Linked DNA regions of Arabidopsis thaliana. The protein of the gene in region 2 interacts with the protein of the main gene of each other region in a pairwise test. Each region holds a gene or a part of one and is shown on either strand. Other genes may lie near its edges.

Region 1 (3,755 bases), on a different chromosome or scaffold from region 2:
ACCTTAGCGAGAGCAGATCGGCTTCCCTACGGTCGCGATTTCGATACGCATCAACCAACGGGAAGGTTTTGCAATGGAAGAATCCCAGTTGATTATCTAGGTTACAATTCTTCCCCAGTTTCTGGATATTGATTATAGTCCCAGTTGATTCTTAGAAGTGTAAGCGAAAATGTTGACTTCTTGTGTTCGATTCTTTATACAATTGAGAGGAACAAATTCATTGAGGAAATGTTGAATCATTCGTTTTTTGTTGTCCATTGAAAATCTTGTGAACAGCTGATCGTTTAGGCTTACCATTCGTTCCTAGCTATCTTGGACAAACTGGGACTGTTGAAGACATGTTTCAAGGAGTAAACTATGCATCAGCTGGTGCTGGAATCATCTTATCAAGTGGATCTGAATTGGTAATACTCAGTTTTTCAGAGTCTTTTGAGTTCATTTTCTGTATACCATCTTTCAGCTTTTTCAATCCTGTGGGGGAATTTTTGTTGTTGCAGGGCCAGCGGGTTTCATTTGCGATGCAAGTTGAGCAGTTTGTTGATACGTTTCAGCAGATGATACTGAGTATTGGGGAGAAAGCTTCGGAACGTTTAGTGTCAAACTCGGTTTTCTACATATCGATTGGAGTGAATGATTACATACATTTCTACATCAGAAACATCTCCAATGTGCAGAATCTCTATACTCCATGGAATTTTAATCAGTTCTTGGCTTCTAATATGAGACAGGAGCTCAAGGTTAGACCTCTAATCAATCTTTATACGTTTTCTCTTGGTAAAGAGTTTATAGGGGACAGACAAGTATGATTCTGAGTTAGTATAGTTAGTATAAGTGAGACATCTTGATTAGTACACAAAACGTTGCCTTTATGAAGATCAAATCACAACCCTTTTTTCTGTTTTGGATCTCTGGTTTGTATAGTTGTAGAGAGCATAAAGCTCATTAAGCTGCATATTGATAGCCTAAACATGATTGAGTTATAGTAGTTGCCTCTTCATTTAGCTGCATATTGATGGCCTAATAAGAGAAGTATTATGTTTGTTTCACAGACCTTGTACAATGTCAAGGTGAGGAGGATGGTGGTGATGGGACTGCCACCTATTGGCTGTGCACCATACTACATGTGGAAATACAGAAGCCAGAACGGAGAATGTGCAGAAGAAGTGAACAGCATGATCATGGAATCCAACTTTGTCATGAGATACACTGTAGATAAACTCAACCGTGAGCTTCCAGGGGCATCCATTATCTACTGTGACGTGTTCCAAAGCGCTATGGACATTCTCAGGAACCACCAACACTACGGTAAGCACCACTTCTATGTCAATTCTCAATTCACAAAAAGACTGTGACTGGTAACAAGTAACAACATAGCATTATAATCCCATAGCAGTATCTTGGAACTCAAACATAGTCTTCTGAGAGTGATATATAGAGTTTTCTGATCATCTTCAAGTGTGAAAGTAACTTGTCAAGAGTCTTGTTGAATCTTAGTTGTGTGTGTATTGTGGTGTGGACAGGTTTTAATGAGACGACAGATGCGTGTTGTGGGCTAGGGAGGTACAAAGGATGGCTTCCATGCATCTCGCCGGAGATGGCTTGCTCTGACGCCTCCGGTCACCTCTGGTGGGACCAGTTTCATCCTACAGACGCCGTTAACGCCATTCTAGCCGACAATGTATGGAATGGTCGCCACGTGGACATGTGTTACCCTACTAACCTAGAAACTATGCTTCATTCTTAAATCAGCTGAGAGGATAAAAATGTACATAAAAAACATAGTAAATTGTAAATGAACTTTGCAATTTTGATGTTTGGTCCATGGTACATAAAGGAAAACTATAGGTCTTTTATGCTAAAGAAAGAAAGTACGGGGTTAGAGAAGAAAAAGGATAAATGTTTTACAAAGTTGGGCTCAATGTATTTACGTAAATGGCCCACATGAAACAGAAAGTTAAGAGATTCGACCCATAAAAAGCACGTGTGGTTTATAAATGGAAAATTTCATCTTCAGGGAGACGAAGACATAATTTCAATTCTTTTCTCATCAAAGTTTCTAAAACAAAAATCTTGGCCTAAAGAGGTGACGTCATCTCCACCCTCTCGTAATTTTTCCAATTTTGCCCTTGGAAGCTGCTTCGCCTTTTTTTTCAATTTCATCAAGGGTTCTGAGATTTTTTTCTCTCAGCTTCTTCGTAGGTTTTTGATCCGAGGTAGGTAGGCTTTGGGTTTACAAAAATTTCGCCTCGATTTTTTGTTCTCACGCGTCGTTCTTGTTACAGGAAATCGATTTCATCTCTGATCATCTTTGTGACGAAGGAAATGGAGCTCGATTTTGACGCTAGTAACTTGGTTGAAGATGAAGCTGTTGAAGTTGAACATAATGTTAGTGTAAAATTGTACTTTCTGGGCTATTTTTCTTTTGGTTGAACTAATCATGGGTTTACCTTTTTCATTTCGAGCCTGGAGCTTTAAAACTTGTAATTTCCGGTGAAAATGGTTGTTTATGTAGCTTTATAGTTAGAATCATGAACATAAGTTGCTATGTCAACCATTTCATTTAGTTTGTGTCACGTTTCCTGGAACATATGTGGTTTTTAATCTCAAGGATGAGATTTTAATAAACTGTGTTTGTGCATTATTGCTTCTCAGTGTTGATTTTAATTTCTTTGAACAGGGTATGACTGAAATTGAAGGGGAAAGATGTGGAATTTGCATGGATATAATTATTGATAGAGGCGTTCTTGATTGCTGTCAGCACTGGTAAAAGCTTGTTTTCGCTTTTCATTGTCTTTAAATATTGCAAAGTTGCTATGGGTGTTTGTTAAGGAGCAGTCTGGTAATTTGTGTCTATGTCTGTTAAATTTCAGGTTCTGCTTTGAATGCATTGATAATTGGTCTACGATTATGAACCTCTGCCCTCTATGTCAGAGAGAGTTTCAGTTGATTACATGTGTCCCTGTAAGATGTCTCATATTTGTTTTTTGTTTTGTTTTATCTGAACATTTGTCATGATTTTTGTAAGTAGAACTTTTGAGTTTAGGAATAATGAGTTTTTGTTTTGATTATGAAGGTGTTTGATTCAGGTGAAAGCAGCAAGGTCGATGAGGATTTGGTATCAGGGTACTATTTTTTTCCTTGTGTTTGTTGTTGTGATAAAGTTTGCTTGCCTGAACTATCTGAGCGGTCTCTTTGTCCTCAATTATTTGTGGCCTATAATGATAAATTTATATTAAGTGGCATAGTATAATCAAGTGATTTAAAATGTGATAGATGTCATGTGTACCATATGTTTCTGTATTTGCTAAAAACTGTTGTGATCTGCTGACGTTAAACTAAGCAATACATGCAGAGATGAAGATTGCTGCATTGAGGAGGAGACTGATGTCGTCTCTTCTCCGTCACACTATATTGACGATACACACTATATTGATGAAAATGTAAGTATATCATATATGGGTTTTCCTAGTTACTACAAAGTACATTAAGCTTTCCTAATCATTTTGTAGGCAGTTGTCTGTTTAGATGGAGATCTTTGCAAGATTCGTAACACTTTCAGTTACATTGAAGGGGATTCAAACCTTGATACATCAATTGCTTGTGATTCGTGTGATATGTGGTAACTATTATTACCTGTTGACTTTATCTATGGTTTTTTTTTTTGTACATTGTCGTGATTGTTGTTTTTACCTCTTTTTTCTATCACTAATTCATTGCTGGTGAACTTCTGGAGCTTGCCTTGTTGTTACAGTGCC
Region 2 (3,755 bases):
CGCACTTGAACTGGTCGGTAGATGCTTTTGCAGCAAGACCACGCTCACAATCAAACAGGGCTTTCTCTTTGATCTGGTTGTTCTCTTGTTTCCTCTTGTCACTTGCCATATCTTCGGCAGACAATGTTATGAGTTTCTCTGGTGAAATCTCCCCAGTGAGAACCCTCCTTCTTAAGTCCGGGTTGTTACTATCCCTCAGGTTGAACATTATAGATCTGTACTTAAGCTTCTGAGCTCCAGTTGAGCGACCCAATTTCTCAAACATCAGTGATTCCACTGAGACAGCAACACGTAAAGGATCACTAGCATTTACTGACTCTCTCTCATAGTCATCAGCTTCTCCAGCAACCCTGCACAACGCCTCCACAAGCAACTCACGGATTTTGTCACGCACAGGATCATTGCATTTGAGCATTGCAGTTAGTTTTGGAGGAGCATTAGCTGCTTTAGCTGGAGCTTTCATACTTGATTGGTTGTCCTTTGAGACCTTTTCATCTTTCACAGCCTGACCACGATAATCTATCTTGGTTCCATTGGTGACTTTGATGTCAGGTACCTTTCTCTCTATCTTGACACCGGTAACAACTTTATTGTCAGGTTCCTTTCTCTCAACCTTGATACTCTTAGCCGAATCACCCCTCTGAAGTTTCTGAACTTTAACAGGAGCAGGATTTGAAGGCTTCTCAACATCCATCTTATTCACCTTAGCCTCTTTACAACCGTTAGTGCCTTCGGTTTTCTTAGCTTTGGCTGTCTCTTCAATGACAACTTTCTTCCATATCTCAAGCAGATCAGTAGCTACGCTTTTGATATCTTCAACAGGATGTTTTGCAAGAGACCTCAGCTTCTTTCCCACCTGGAAGCAAGAAAAGAATATAACTTTCTCAAAAGCAAATACACACACTATCAACATTCCAGAGGATAATGTCCAAATTGGTTTGTTCCAACAATATCAACGGGGACGTACAAACAATTAGTCAATTATACAAATCAGTTAGCTCAAGCTTCTTCATCTATTGAATTAAAGTTACTCTTTTTAAACTTCTATAAACTTTTTCAGATGAAATTAAATAACCCTAATTAAAAATCTAAGGTAACAACAACACAAGTCAATGCAACGAGATTAAGCAATCAACACCTAGAAAAACCCTCCTAAATGCAACATATATAAACCTTTTCCTAAATGCAAAATAAATCAATCTTTTTTAGGGTTACGAGAAGATAATCAGAAACGAACCTGAGTCGCAACGAGGGTATCGTATGTGACAGGAAACTTCTTGAGCTGTTTAAGGGCATCGATACATTGAGAAACCTCAGGACCTGAAGAGGTAACACCGTCAAGAGCCGCCGCATCGGCTGCCTTCTTAGCTCCCTCGAACAAATCAATCAAATCACTCTCCATCGTTCCGACAATCCCTAGCTCAAAAAACAAAGCACCAACACCGATAGATCCAAGGCGACTCAGAACAAAGAACAATCCAACAAAATCTCTCAAGTATGGAGAGAAGGATTATAATCGGCGGAACCTCGTTTGAGTCACGACGAAGAAGATAGATAGAGATTACGGACTGAAACTGTGTTCTTAATTTATTTTATACGACCGAGACAAAGTGATCAACGGTTTCAGTTAAAACCTTGAAGAATCAACGGTTTGGATCACGTGGCTAGGTCTATGGATACTACTAGATTCACGCTTCTGCTCTCTTTCTCCTTATCCCGATATTACTGCATCAAGCTTGGGCTCACCCAGGCCCTTATTGGGCCAAAGTTTGATGGGCTTTTCACAAACAAAATAAAATTCTCGTTTTTATTGGTTTGTTGATATTAATAAACGACTCACTAATCCAAATACAACGGAAATTAGAAGGATTGATCGCAAAAATTGTACACAACTTAAAAAGAGATATCAAAAGAGTTTGGCATATATGATGCTGATGTTGACGACAACACTTCTTCCTCTTACCCCATTTTTCTTTATCCTTCACTTCTTACAAACCCATCGCTTGATTCATCTTCTCCGCCATCTTCTAAGGTTGGTCCCTTTTCTCTCTTGACCACCATCTTGTACAAGTAAAACCCTAGCACACCACCACTGCAACAGTAATCCAACAAACTTTTAAGCCTTCTTTCTGATAAGAATCCTAATTAATCCATTATATGCAAAGTGTGTTTTGCTTTTCCCCGTGGAATATTTGAATCTAGCAGGAAGTTTGGTCAAAAGGTATGACTAATCTTCCTTCATTCAGATATCTCTTTGAATTTTAGTTTAGGTTCTTCTATCAATCATCTTCCTATCGTGTTTCATTTATCAAATTGCAAATGTACAATGATTAATGATATGGTTTTCAGAGTGTACCTTGTAAGGGTGGTAAAAAAACCTAGGAACGTCGATTTCTATAAAGAGAAAAAGGAGAGTGAATTATGTTTCATTCAAAGCCATTCTTCAAACCATTTGAAATATAACATTGAGCAATGAAAGTTACCTGAGACAGTAGCAACCGCAACTCTCTCAAAAATATGATTGCCACTATAGCTGTTGAACATAAGAACACGGTAACAGATAAGCGTCACTAAACATGCTTTACATCTATACTCAACCGGAGAATGTCGGAAAGCCTCAAAAATCAGATTAGTGAAAAATTAATTTGTTGACTAAACTCAAAATCTAGGATTCAACAAGTATCTATTGGAACAAGACTCATTTCTAGACAAATCAATAATGCAACTTAAACTAATTCATTCATGGTTAGCTAATATGCATATCAGAGGGGTTATCAAAGCCGTTCCTAATCAAAGCACAATTCTGGTTGTTAAAACTAGATTTCAGTAACTGGGGCTAGCTTTTGTGAATGATATGAGAAAGGGTTAATACAGATTGAAAAACTTTACTAACCCATCTGTCCTTTTAAGAACTTTGTAGATGACTCTCCTTTCCTATGAGACTTTAGACTTGCCAGGCTCAGTGCAAAAAGGGCTCCACCAAGAATGACTCCAAACCTGATGGCCGGAATGCTTCCCGATACCATGAAGTTAATAAAACCACCCACAAGCAAGAGTAGACCTGTAAAGTATACAAACATTGTTATCCCGTTACTCACGAACAATGAAAGCTTACAAAAGATGAACAAGATATACAACATGTTTACCATAAGGTATTCCAACATGAAAATCATTCGCTCGGGACACATTTTTCAGATCCTCAGTGGAGGCAAATGCTTCAACAATCTCTTTCACATCTGATGGAGATTCTTCTGCTGCTTTCAAAATATATTCTCTACCCTCTTCACTAACCACTTTCGCTTTAGTACCCAACTCTTCTTTCGCCTTTTCCGCTTGAATCCTAAGTTGTTCAGAAGTTTCTTTCAAGACCGTCATCGCCTTTTGGGAGTTAACGGAGTATGCCTCCGATGACACACTCTGCATCTTTGATACCTGCTCTTTAAAAGACTCAAGAGTTTGTTTCCATGCTTCCTTAGATGTATCATCTTCAACATCTATATCACTCTTCTCCTTCCCCACCTCAACACCTGATTCTCCCTATTTGAACAATGGCGATAAAGGGTAATAATCAAAACATGTTCTTTAGCTAATCACAGATCATTTGATAATTTCAAACCCCAAATTGCACCTCACTTGAAATTGGCAGATTATATTGCTTAATCAAATAAATTTCACCAAAGTCCAATTTTTTTCTAGCCTCAAGCAATTTACAAGATAAAGCATCTGAATTTCGAGATACCCAACAGAGAAATTAG

Evidence for each region. Proteins that work in one complex are often made in the same cells at the same time.
Region 1: the proteins of TFIIS (region 2) and AT4G10930 interact in a two-hybrid assay, tested with the Arabidopsis thaliana proteins (one large-scale study listed by BioGRID).

What each region holds. Positions count from the first base shown.
Region 1 is NC_003075.7:6,709,491-6,713,245, reverse strand, and holds the start of AT4G10930 (RING/U-box protein), read left to right. Parts: upstream 1-1,997; 5' UTR 1,998-2,213; intron 2,214-2,282; 5' UTR 2,283-2,322; coding exon 2,323-2,385; intron 2,386-2,677; coding exon 2,678-2,763; intron 2,764-2,870; coding exon 2,871-2,961; intron 2,962-3,073; coding exon 3,074-3,123; intron 3,124-3,352; coding exon 3,353-3,440; intron 3,441-3,509; coding exon 3,510-3,619; intron 3,620-3,755. Other genes in the region: AT4G10950 (SGNH hydrolase-type esterase superfamily protein), read left to right, coding at 1-100, 277-404, 498-737, 1,050-1,305, 1,521-1,744.
Region 2 is NC_003071.7:16,132,449-16,136,203, reverse strand, and holds the start of TFIIS (transcript elongation factor IIS), read right to left. Parts: upstream 1,662-3,755; 5' UTR 1,403-1,661; coding exon 1,238-1,402; intron 857-1,237; coding exon 1-856. Other genes in the region: AT2G38550 (Transmembrane proteins 14C), read right to left, coding at 1,975-2,092, 2,357-2,394, 2,484-2,533, 2,894-3,061, 3,147-3,537. UniProt on the Arabidopsis thaliana protein: Necessary for efficient RNA polymerase II transcription elongation past template-encoded arresting sites. Involved in the control of seed dormancy and germination.